Arabidopsis thaliana: one gene and its partner. The protein of the gene in region 1 interacts with the protein of each later gene in a pairwise test. Each region holds a gene or a part of one and is shown on either strand. Other genes may lie near its edges. The genes, in order: SHOC1 and AT1G12790.

Region 1 (7,859 bases):
CAAAGTCATTACCTTTATGCGTGGGATCAGTAACTTTGGACTGATAATTAGATACACCACTGAGATAATCCGATCCTCCTCCTGGAGCAGCCGGATCTTCCTCCAAACGTTTTGGCGTCTCGACGTTGACTTTCCGTTGACCACCGAGATAGTCATCTTCACCACCAGGAGCAAACGTCCTAGTCACGTCCTCTGTTGCTGAAAGCAGAGACACAGGAGTGTTCAATGGCTCTTGATGAGCCTCTCTGCTCTCTCCTCTGTCTGAAAATTCTGACACTCCGAGAGGATAATGAGTCGGTGCCTCTCTTTTCGCTTCCCAGTCCGATGTTTCCGTCGTTCTTACAGGATCAGCCAGTGCCTCATGTCCGTAAGAGGTATCTTGTAATGATACAGGCTCAATGGGTTTGGTGTGGTCAGAAGACACGACAGGAAAAACTTTTGTCCCTGGAGGAACAATCTCCTCCGATGCCGGAACATTAGTTTCTCCGGCATGACTAAGAGACTTAGGTTTACCCGTTACACCACCTCTCACGGCAGAGGATTCATACACTGTGCATACACATAAAAAAACAGAAAAACCGTTAATACACAAAAAAATATAACTGCTGATTGACGAGGACTTTAATACAGAGAAATTAACCTGGTGCGCCGTGAACTTCTGGGTCTTGCTCGTCATACTCATCATCATCATCTTCCACATCGTGATCATGACCATTTCCATGTTTAGTGAGACTGTTCTTGATTTTCTTAGCCTTTTCTTTTACTTTCTTCAACACTTTGGATGCTCCCTTCTCATGATGCTCTTCTTCTTCTGTATCCGAATCACAATAAATAAGGCAAATTAAGAGAAAAGTTCTCAAATTAGAATCTTCTGTCATAGATATATATATACCTGGATGGTGAATTCTGATTGGTTCTTCTGCTTGCTCATGACCATAAGGACGTGTCAACTGTGACTCCATTTTCCAAAGCTGTGTTTTCTCTTTTTCAAGTGAATCAATCAAACCCTCTTTGTTCTAGTGTTGTTTTCTTTCTTTTCGTGTCTCTGAGAAAATCAGAACAAAGTTCCATAAAGTTTATAGAGAGAACGATGACATATGGCCGAACCACCTCTCTCTGGCTTCTGTCTCTTTACTTCTGTAGGATTCTGACACGTACGATGCGTCCGTTTCGTCCTGCCACGTCTCAGCCAGTTGCTCTCTACGTGGCTATGCGACATTATCTTTTATCCGATCTTTAGAGAAGCCTATCGATGTATCTTCTATTATTTAGTTTTAGTCGGTCCACGTTTATTGGCCCATCATGTAGTTATTTGGCAAATGCACTGTGTGTTGTTTAAATATAACAAAACGGCAAAAGAAAAAATCAATTCAGCTATCAACTGTGTGCTGTTTTGAACATTTAAAACGGCATAACGTACTCAATTAAAATTAAAAGACGACAAGTGGCGAGAGTTGCTTTGGTATCTCCATCTCCCTCTTGAAATCGACGGGGGATATTTTTTAATTTCTTAAAAATTCAAAACCGCCAATTTCAAAATTCGTTCTCTTCTTCATCATCATCATCATCACTGATACAGTCTGAGCTCCCAAGACGGATCTAGAAAATTACGATGCGAACTCGATTTCTCAACATCGATTACTTCTCTACTCCACCTTCTCACGTATTTGAAACCCTAGGCTTCCTCAATCTTCCGGCTCCTGATAATTTCCCGGCACCCATCGTCTACAACGGAGAAGAAGACCGTCTCCGATTTGGCTCGATCGAAAATGTTAGTATCCCTATCGGAAATTTGCCTATTGAAGCTGCTTTGTCGAAGTTCCTTTCCGACGTGGTTCCCGACCGCGTCAGTGTGGACTATCGAGTTTTTGAAATCGACGACTCTTCGCTCGGAGTTTATTACTCAGACGAGGTAAAGTTCCTTCGATCTAGATATTATCAGTTCCTGGAGGTGAAATTTCGAATTTCCTGAGTCTCGCTGACTGTTTCTGTCAACGGTCCTTTGTTTCTTATAGTGAGATTGGTTGTAGATTTTTCGAAATTTGTGGTGTGTTTTCTCAGTTTCCATTTCTGATTGTTGCTTAGATCTTATATTCATACTTGGGTTGGAAATTTTGGTAGCTTAAGCGAATCTTACCGGAGTTTGAAAACCGAAGTTATGATCTATTTGCAGAAGGATGACGGAGATGCCATTGCGGATAAAGCTACACCTAAAATTATTGAGTTGGAGACTCCAGAGTTGGATTTTGAGATGGTATTGCTCAAGCTGTGTAAGCATTGTACTAATTGAACTAGTTCAGCTTTTTCTTTTTCATTGCGAGATAAAGCATCTTTTGATATACAGGAGAACAAGCTCTTATGCACGAGTGAGGATCATCTCCAATGTTTCTCTGAAGTTCTAGAGATCAAAAATGACCCGGTAAATCCCTGAGTTGATTTTAGTTGGCACACACAACAGTAGTTTTTGCTTTTGCTGTAGAGTGGTAGAGCTGGTTCCTGTTCTTGGCATCATCTGATTTTAGCTAGTCTTCTTATTGCAGGTTAAATATGAGGGGTCAGATATTATCCTGCAGAACTCAAAGGACATTCAAGAGCAGATTTATTCTGTTGATTACATTCCTTCTGATTACTTTACAGAGAACAACACTTCTGTAGCAGAAAATGAATGCTTCCGCAAGATTCAACCATGGTTCAAAGATGCCAGATTTCCCCTTCTAGAAGTGGATGAAGTAAACTTGAGCGAACTATCAAGCTTATCTGTGCTTGATAAAGTATTTACTGTTCTTGAGACGATTGAACCCCAAGACACTAATGCAGGGAGTTCTCTCATTATCAATTCTAAGGAGCTTATAGGCTCAAAGGATTATGATCTATTGGATGTACTCTCTACGGATTGCTATTTGAACAAGAGTGGCCAATCTGATGTGGTACCAGAGGATGAATTTTCTGAAATGGATATAGTGACTATCCTGGAAATATCAAATGCTGAGGAATTTCAGGGAAAGGTGGCTGTACCAGTAACTTATGAGGAATTCCAGATCCTGGATGTGGATATCTCTGATGTTTTTGATATCTTCCTTTGTCTTCAAAAAGCCATTGAACCAGAAATCTGTTACGGTATGTTCAGTAAAGAGATGAACTTCAAGGATTTCGATGAATTAGTTGTCAGTTCCGAACTTGCCTTCACAGATGATGCCTTCAAGTCTTTGCCTACTCCTATTTTACATGATTATGAGATGACAAGATCTCTGGAGCTCATTTATGAGGATGTTTTGTCAAAGATCAAGCCTCAATCCTTGTCTGCCTCAAATGACATATACTTGCCGTGGAACCTTCTTGAGGAAAGAAACCACAACCATTGTGATTATCCGTTTGAAGAAATAGTTACATTCAACATTGATTATAACTGGGAAGCTTCAGAAGGAGACAAATGGGTTTATGATTTCATTTTCTCTGAAGATGCTTTCTGCGAGCCACTTGTAGAGAAATGCACTGAACCTTTCTATGGTATATCTAACCTTGATGAGCATGCTCCTGTTAATACTTCGCATGGGTTATTGGAAAACCCTTTCCAAAAAACAGGAGCAAGGGATTGTGCAGTGGATGATAATGCTAAGAAGGCTACGCTGTTGTTCAAATCAATGTCTGCTTTTGATGACTTAACCTTTTTCATGGATCCGAAGAAGGCTGTGATTGAAGATAATCTCGAGTCTAGAGTCGAAGCTGCTAAGACTACCAACCATAAATGTATGTCTATTGACTCGAAGGCTTCATGTAGATCTGGTGGTATGCACCCAAACCCGAAGACAGAGGAAATGATACTTCACAGTGTGCGCCCTTCAGAAAATATTCAGGCTCTTGTTGGGGAATTTGTGAAGAGCTATTTAACTCTTGTGAAGGATGAATCAGAGAATTTATCAGAAGATAAACTTAAGTTACTCAGCATATCTAAAGGAAAGCTTATTGACTGCATAAGAAAGGCAAATGTCCACAAAACACAGTTGGCGGATGATAAGACTTTCACGTTTGCATTACTATTAGCAATTAAACAGATGACATGGTATATGTGTTTCTTCGGTATCCATGTGGCATATATCTATCTTAACAAGGTATGTCGAAGCTCAAATCCCATGAAGATAGGATTGCACACCCTCTACTCAGCAGTTGAAACAGAACACAAATCAGATGAGACAGACATCACAAGATCACATCCATCACTAGCTGTTATCCAGGGGATTTTACAGTCAGAATTTGCCCGGGGGAACTCCAAAGCATTACTTTTGGCTGAGAAAGTGTTTTGGTCCTCGCTGAAGAGGCTACTGATGTCCATGGGGTTATCTTACAATGACCTCAACAGTCCCTCCCCAAGTGGAAATCGACCAAATGTTCATGAAGCCATAGAACTTGGTTTCCTGCCGATTTCAGACTGTCTAATTATCTCTTACGAGTGAGTATTATTTCTTCCTATAGCCATATCCTCATTATCAATGATCATAGCTTTTCACAGTTGAATTTTTTGGGAACTAGAAAGGGAACCAAAGAATTGATATATTGCGGCCTGAAAAGCATTTTCAGTCTTTTAGCATGGTGATTGTAAGAGATACCACAAAATGTTGTTACTTCTCTGCTCGTGAAATTGCTGCATTATTGTTCTTTGCATGCTAAAACATAGCTTTATCGATTCTTTGTTCAATATCTTTTAGTGAAATTGTCTTTTGGGAGTAGTTAAGCTAACTAGTCCTTTCTTTTTCATCTAAGGCAAATTTCTCCATCTTTTCCTGTGGAGAATTTCAGCGTCATTGTAGAATATGGAGGTCCAAATGCCTCGCCCAGATATTCTTTTCCTTCAAAGTTGGATTCCTTTCCTTCCTTTCATTTCATAAAAGTGGAGCTGGATATGCCCAGTGCATGCGGGCAACTCTGTGCAGGTGTTACAGTACCTTATAGTCTCAAAATGATAAAGGTGAGAAACATTCAACCTTTTCTTACAAGTTATATTGGTAGATTGTATATTACGATGGAAGAGTCTGTGTGAAGGGTTCAAATTCAGAGCAGTAGATCAATCTGTATCACAAATAGTACTTTCATGAGCATATGATCTTGATTGGTTTTGCAACACTGAAAATTATGCAAGTTTAACATTAGTATGTACTTTAACCTAAAATTGTGTTGTCACATCAGTGGTATTCACGTTTATTCCATAACTGCATATTTTGAACGCTTTGTTTGAATATGTTCCAGAATATGCAGATACGAGAACCTATGTACACTATTATCTCTTTTGTAGGGAGACGAAGTTGAGACGAAAACTGGGTGGTTGGAAGAAGTGTTGAACTTTGTTCCACTTGAAAAAGTGTGTTATGCAGGATCTTCCGAAACCACAAATGAATCTGAATTTATCTCCATGCCTCAAGAATCTGAAAGAAAACGTGGGATAATTGAACAGGGTCTCTCTGACCAAAGATCTGTGATTGTTGTGAACACAAAAACTGTCGATAAGGAGATGATCATATCCAGAAGAAGTACATACCAGAAGGTGTTAGCAATGGAAAAAGAAGGAGTGCAAGTTGTGGAGCGCGATTCAGATCTACCTGTGGACCTGATGTTAAGTCCTGCAGTTTGCCTACTCTGGTATGATAGTGAAACTGTTAGTAAGAAGTCGGCTGCAACTATTGGTACTTCCTCAAGTTCACTTTCATGGATTGGAGATATCGCAACTAATGTTTTGACGTCATTGAGTTTCAGTTTCAGCACTTGCATTATGGTAAATTCCACCAAACTTTGCTTTTTGCCGTTCTTTTGTGGGAACGTTGCAGTATATATGTGGACCTTTCACTTTAAGAATCATCTTCTATTATTTTTGCTAATTTGATGATTACAAACTTACTAGATGTTTAATACTCACTCATATACTAAAGTCTCTGCAACATTTTCTTCTAAACTGTAGACTGAGTCCAGAGAACTTAAAGAACGATTGTTATTTTTCGTACAGGTTTTTGAGGGGGAACCCGCCTTCCTGGCTGCCGTAATGGACTCCTCTGATGAACTGTATGCAGCAGCTGGTAGCCTAGGAATCAGTTTACAGATGTTTTGCTCATCGTCAGCTAATCTCACGGATGAAATTATATTGAAGTGTATCAAATCTTCTGTTAAGTTGTCCAAACTCCATGTCAAAATGCCCGAGTCAGAATCTCTAGCAGAATCATTTCTCACCAAGTTTCCTTCCGTGAATCCACTCACAGCTCAAGTAATTCTGTCATCTTCTGGGTCACTTCTCGAATTCATGAAGCTCCCACATAAAAGCAAGGTTGAAAGGACGCAAAAGTATCATGTACCTGAAGAGAGTGTTGATCTATTCAGTTCAGTATGCAGATACGGAGCAAGGGAGGACTCCAGATCTGTAATGACAGACAGCTCTTCTTCGGTATCTTCTGGACCTGACTCAGACACACACCATGTCAGTGTCCATTCTGGCTCAAAAAAGAAACAGTACATTGCTGAGAAAGATGAGATAGATATGGACGACTTGGTGCATTTTTCTCCCTCGATAGAATTTGCTGATACACAGCTCAAGTCTTCTGGGGATTTCCAACTTGATGATTCTTGGTCATCGAAAGATCATGAGATCTTTCATTTTGACCCTGTCACTGAATTCTCAGATGCACCTTTCAAACCTTCTGGGATCAGTCATCCCAATGACTCTTGGCCGTCTAAAGATCCTGAGAGATTTGACAAGAAGTCAGGACCTGGTTCATCATCAAAGGACACATTTTGGGAGAAAGATCAGCCTGATTTTTCAGTGGAGGACAGTCTTCCTGGAATTCCTGAATTAGAAGATTGGAGTTTCCCAGTTAAAGACAAATTCATGAGCCAGAACAGAGGATGTAAATTTCCGGTGATGAGAGATTTTAACTTGCATGACAATAGGAACTCGGAGAATTTCATCGCAGACTACAAAGGTGAAGTAATTGACAGAGCTGATAAGTATCTCGAGGAAGACTTCCCGCCTTCTCCTGGTTATAATAGGTTTGCTCGAATAGTTTCTGATGTTAATGAAGAGGAACTTCCAAGAAAATCAAAATCTTCAAGGAAGTTATCTTTCTTTGGATCTCTCCAGCCTAACTTCCCAAAGGCGGCTGACATCGACTCGAGTTCTGAAAGATACGCCACTGAGAAAGATTCAAAATATGATAACAACACTTCTTTGCGTGGCTATGCTGATAACTATCCAGCAAAACGCCAAAGGACCCTTTTGGAGGAGGTCTTAACACGAAGATCTGCAGTTCCAACAACAGAGCTTCCATTTAGAGAAGAAATATCACATTTTGGTGGATCTCCACTATCAAACGCAATCCGTTCTTCAAATCAAGTACAAAGTTCTCCTTGGACGGTTGATTTCCTTAACAGAGTTCGAGAAAGAAGCAGAGCAAGGAAACAACAACAATCTCTTCCTTCTTATGCTTCTCCACCTAGTTTGGAGACTCCAGGGAACATAAAGAAAGCTAATACCAAGAGAAAGAGTCCATCCATACTCGAGTTTTTCAAGTATAAAGGAGGCAACAAACTTCAAGAAGAGAAGAGGCAGAAGCGGTCAAAGAATTCTTCAGCCTCACCAAAAAACGAGAGATTTTACTCGCCTCTTAAGTCATGCACACCAATTGATAAGCGAGCAAAACAGGTATTCATTATATATGATCCCTATAGAAGTGAGATTTGTTCATACCGTTGATTTCTTTAACATCTTTTTTTTTTCATTCCAGTCTCTATCTTACACAGCGAATGGAACTGGCCAAACAAAACTTGTATGGAAGTAAAGAAACAAACACGGCGTAGCAATTGGAAACTAACCAAAAACCAAT
Region 2 (4,954 bases), on another chromosome or scaffold:
TGATCATGACAACGATGATGATGATGATGATCCGTTTAAGTGTATTATAGCTTTGATTCGTCGATTTTCAGTTACGCATTGATGGTGAAACTTTTCTCGGCGGATTTTAATAATTAAAAGGGAAATAATGTAAGATTAAGTCTTCTTTTTTTTTTACGCAATGACATTTTTAACCTATTTTTGTAAATAAATGACTAGTGATGACCAAAATCTACGAGGATTATGGGAATACAGAGAGATAAATTTTCTATGGGTTGGATAACACGCTAAAAACTGGATAGTAACGTTGTCCAATCAACTTTTTTGTGTTTTTTCGTTAAAGTTGTCCACTTAATATTTATCTTTTAACGATACCTAAGATTGTGACAGAGACAGCAGAGACCTACCGATAACGTTATGATCAAATTGATGACGTGTATCTACAACTTTATTTAGGTATCCAATTTGGGTAAATGTTGAAATGTTTTGGTACTAGAGTTAGCTAATAGGATTTTGTTTTGAGAAGGAATATATGTTTCGTATGTTTTTTTTTATAACAAAATATGTCTTTATGTAGATAAATTTTGAAATATATTCATAACATGAATTTTGCATCAATTTGCAAGTAGAAATGGCAAATTCTTCGATTTGTCACAAATTGCGGGTAAAATCTTTTACTTAAGATAATGTGTGATGTAGATGATTTTTAAATCCGGATAACATAAGTAAGAATACAAGAATTTATAAATGCAAAGCCATTTCACATGGGTTTTGTTAGCTTGTCATTTTTGCTTAAGATCAAAGAAACCCAAAAACCCGTAACTATCAACCAAAAGAAAAACAAGTGTGGTCATTTATTGTGCTTAACCCTCAAACTTATCAATCAATCTACCAAACGTTTTCACGATGCAGTTTGGTGTTACTGCAAACATCAAAAAAAGTCTTGGTACCGATCTTTATTGATTAAAGTTCAGATGCTAAACACTTTAACAGGAACGGATGTAATAAAAGTACTAGTATTCAGACAGAGCTAGCAAAGATAAAAAAGTGAGCCATTTTACTTACCCGGTACTGGCTCCTATAGGTGTATGTATTGTAGTCTTGTAGCCATAGCAAAGGACTACGAAAAGTCTTTGAGTGGTACCTTTAGAAACTGTTACGGCCAAGAATAAGATAGATAAGTCTTACGACGTTACGGATTTTATAAGAATTGTGATCTTAGTATCTTACAACTATTTCTGCAGTCGTCAGTTGAATTTGGGACTGAGGTAGAACTCAGGATCTTGGAAAAACCTGGTGAGTGTATCAGCCTTTTTAGAAGAGAGATCTGTGTTTGCTAAAATGTCTTCTTTGGATGCTTTAGCGATTGCTTCAATTGAACCAATAGCCTGGTACAGCTGTAACCGATGAGAACATAAGCAAGCAAGTAGAATTCATGGTGCAGTGACATGATTCACAATAAGGTTTGAAGTTTGAAGTTGGAATTGTATTTTAATAGTATCAAAAGTGCAAGTTTACCACTTGAACCTGCTCATAAGTAAACATTACCGTGTTCGCATCATGTTTGTTAATATTGGGTATGGATGTGACAAATCTGATGAAGATGTTTGTATCCTGCACAGTTCGCTTTCTCTTCACATGAAAGAAAACGAAAGAAGCTTTAGAGATTGTCAAAAACAAATGTTGAGACAGATCATTATAACAAATGAGAACCTACCTCAACCTTGAGCTTAGAGGCCACCTTCTGTTGCTTGCACACTGAAGCTCAAGTTTCAAATCTTATCAGTCAATCACTAAAAAAACCGTAGAGTATATTAACTAACACAAAACAAATGAATCTTATACCTCCACGAGAGTGAGCAATCTTAACAATCTTCTCAAATCCCATCTCAGCATCAGTGACTTGTACAAACGCAGGTTTCCCAAACTCCATCTCATATCTACGAAAAAGATTTATCGAGCTTCATTTCCGACAACACAGATAAGCAAAATGATGCAAAGTGAAAAAAGAAGAGTAGAAGACCACTCACTGGAAGTAAGATCGCATAAAAGAATCACTCTGCTCTTTAGTTGAAAGTGTAGCAACAACATAAAGTTGCGCAAATTGCCCTTTCAGCCTCTTTACTCTAAAAAAGTTTAAGTCAAAGAAATCAGAAGACATATAGGAGTTTGCGATAGAGAGAGAGCTTGAAACTTTATTATATAGACCTGCTGAAGATGGAAGCAACATTGGAAAAATCCCATTTAGTCACAAAAACAAAAGCAATAGAAACACCTCCACAATTGAAGATGAGATCCTATCACAGCATAAAGTGAATTCTTTAAGCTAAATTTTAGATAATCCAATTCTCCAAAAGAATCTAAACAGAGAAAGAAGGCACATACAGGGGGGATAGAGACAAAGTTAAGGCGGAAAGAGTTTGCGCTAAGAAACGCAGATATGAAATTGATCAGTGAAGGTTCTTGTTCAACTTTCCATGCATTGCTCATTATACAAACACCAGCAACATTTCCTGTCAGAGATTATCGTAAATTAATCCAATCGCAGATTCTCAGTAACATGAATCTACTAAACATTAGACTCATCATTCAAATTTCGCAGTAATCAAATCAAAACACATATCGCCTAATTTGAGAACTTATCGACATTTCTACATAAGAAATTGAGCAGATACAGAGTCGAATTCAAGTTTCCTAGATTTGATTTGAATCACAGCTATAAAATCGACACCAAAATTTTGCAAATCCTAGACTCTAACGATTGAGTAGATCGGATATTTTGATAACAGAGAAGAGTGGTTACCTAGATTCACGAGAGGTGACGAAACTTGATGATCTGTTGAGACACTGTAGCTTGATCCCGCCGTCGCCATTGACGAACCTCCTAGAGTTATAGAAATTCGAAAATCTTGGCGGATGAGGATGACGAATAATTATCAAATTTGAATAATTAATTGTTTTCGTCCCACATCGCTCTCCGACTTTGGTTCTCCTAACCGGTTCATGAGTATATATAAACCGGTTTTGAATTCTCCATACGCTCCACATTACGTTTGAGGTCGAAGATATGCTACTGATCAGATTCACTTGATGGTCTTTCAAACTATAATTTCTTACTTTCCTATGGATATCAGGATCATAGGGTGCAAGCCTAAACCATGCATGACATAACAATAAGAGAGAATTTGTTAGCCTGTAAGTAATATAATCCTATAATCTACTTCATTCCTCACAGGAGAGGTGATTCTACATATTTCCAGATTCTTGCTTTTGTTGGGAAAATGTTTTCATATATTAAAAAGATCAGGAAGTATTACATTAGAAATCATGTATTGATGTTGTAGACTTGGTATAAGTCTTCGAATGATACCACTTTCAAGAATACAAAAAAATAGTGGATTCATTCATTCCTTCCTTCCTCAATATTCTCATTCTACTCTGTTGGTGCAAGACATGATTGTAGATTTCATCTCTTCTTTGCTCAAGGATGCTTCAACAATAAGCTGCAGATAAACAGTAAAGGAAAAAAACTGAATCATCCAAGATTAAAATAAAACAGATGTTATAAGTTAGATCTTTCTCTTTCTTTCTTTTACCTCTTGTACTCTGTTTCCAGCTCGAGCAAGCAGTTTGTATTGGTTCTCAAACATTGGAGCCATGTAAACCTACAAAGAGAGAGAAAGCAAACCAGAGCTCTTAGCTTCCGATCAAAACATAAAACGTTCACATTTTTTCGCTAAGGAAGCCGCAACAGTATTCAACTCTTTAGCGGTCTGTTAGATGTTTTCGTGTTTTGATATATACATTTTAGGTGATTAAACTGTGTACCTGAAACGTTGGAGCAAGACCCGGACTCAAGAAGAAACGACTTTTTGAGACTGATTGGATTCCTTCAACCATTTCCAGCTCTTTGATCAGAGATTCCACGTCAGGCCACTGCAGAAGAAAGGTTTCAGAAACCTGTAATAATGGTTTCATCACATAAAATCACAGAAGGTCTTTAATACCTCAGCGTCGAGCTCTGCTGCTTGTAATCGTCCCCCCAACTGATCATTATCACCACCAACTACAGATTCTAAAGCTTCAGTAAGAGGATCAGGCTGCATAAAGACATCAAACGGGTCTAGGTATATATCAAAATGAGTTACCAATTGCTACAAGATAAACTTTTGAGAGATCTTTCTCACCGTAATTTCTTTTAATGACAAGAAGATACGTTCAAGAGCAAAATCTAGCTGGTGCACTTTCGCTTCCACAATCTGATAACAACAAAAAGAAAGGTTTGTCAAACAGTTGTATTCCTTAGCAGTGTTTACGATAGTTCGAGATATTACCTGACCAATCTTGAAATATGAAGCAGGGTCTAAAGTTGCATCCCATGAAACTTCTGACTGGTGAACCAATGCAGGGACACCTTCTAGCTGTTTCAACCCAACTTTTTAGTTTTACACAACATTCTAGATTCCGTTCTTGCCAGTCAATAAAGCAAGAAGGTTCAAAGATATTTTAACTTCTGTAAGTTAGTAGTTAGTACCTCACAGAAAATACCAAAATAGGTAATTTTCTTGATGCAGCATTTCACAACATCCCCAACACGAAGCTTAGCCATAAGAGTTCGTTTTTTCTCAACTTCCTCTTCATTTTCTCTCGGCCTCATTGAAAATATAAGCTTCCTTGAATTTCGATTTGCCATAACAACATTCACTTTGATTTTCTGCATTGAGTTAAATTGTTTAGAAAGGAAAAACAAGCATTTCCATGTATGGAAATTAAAGTCATAGGTTTTTTAGACATACCTGACCAACAAAAGATGACAGGAACTTCTGCTTCTCTCTGTCATATACCATAAGAAGATCTTCCAGCTTCATATCAGAAGAAACTTCTCCGTTGATCGTTGTAGCGACTTCAGAATCTAAGCTTGAATCTGGAGATGGAGATTTACTCGTGACATCTTGACCTCCAATTACCCCAAGGT

What was found.
Region 2: the proteins of SHOC1 (region 1) and AT1G12790 interact in a two-hybrid assay, tested with the Arabidopsis thaliana proteins (one study listed by BioGRID).

Annotation. Positions count from the first base shown.
Region 1 is NC_003076.8:21,230,308-21,238,166, reverse strand, and holds the start of SHOC1 (shortage in chiasmata 1), read left to right. Parts: upstream 1-1,612; coding exon 1,613-1,912; intron 1,913-2,173; coding exon 2,174-2,254; intron 2,255-2,344; coding exon 2,345-2,419; intron 2,420-2,540; coding exon 2,541-4,447; intron 4,448-4,758; coding exon 4,759-4,963; intron 4,964-5,287; coding exon 5,288-5,764; intron 5,765-5,992; coding exon 5,993-7,678; intron 7,679-7,760; coding exon 7,761-7,814; 3' UTR 7,815-7,859. Other genes in the region: LTI65 (CAP160 protein), read right to left, coding at 13-549, 641-811, 893-962. UniProt on the Arabidopsis thaliana protein: Essential for the formation of class I meiotic crossovers.
Region 2 is NC_003070.9:4,358,371-4,363,324, forward strand, and holds AT1G12790 (DNA ligase-like protein), read right to left. Parts: upstream 3,002-4,954; 5' UTR 2,853-3,001; coding exon 2,783-2,852; intron 2,493-2,782; coding exon 2,365-2,492; intron 2,277-2,364; coding exon 2,188-2,276; intron 2,106-2,187; coding exon 2,010-2,105; intron 1,920-2,009; coding exon 1,825-1,919; intron 1,738-1,824; coding exon 1,697-1,737; intron 1,612-1,696; coding exon 1,528-1,611; intron 1,377-1,527; coding exon 1,227-1,376; 3' UTR 1,210-1,226; intron 1,133-1,209; 3' UTR 525-1,132; downstream 1-524. Other genes in the region: AT1G12800 (Nucleic acid-binding, OB-fold-like protein), read right to left, coding at 3,408-3,482, 3,576-3,644, 3,808-3,915, 3,987-4,079, 4,167-4,238, 4,314-4,400, 4,514-4,693, 4,776-4,954.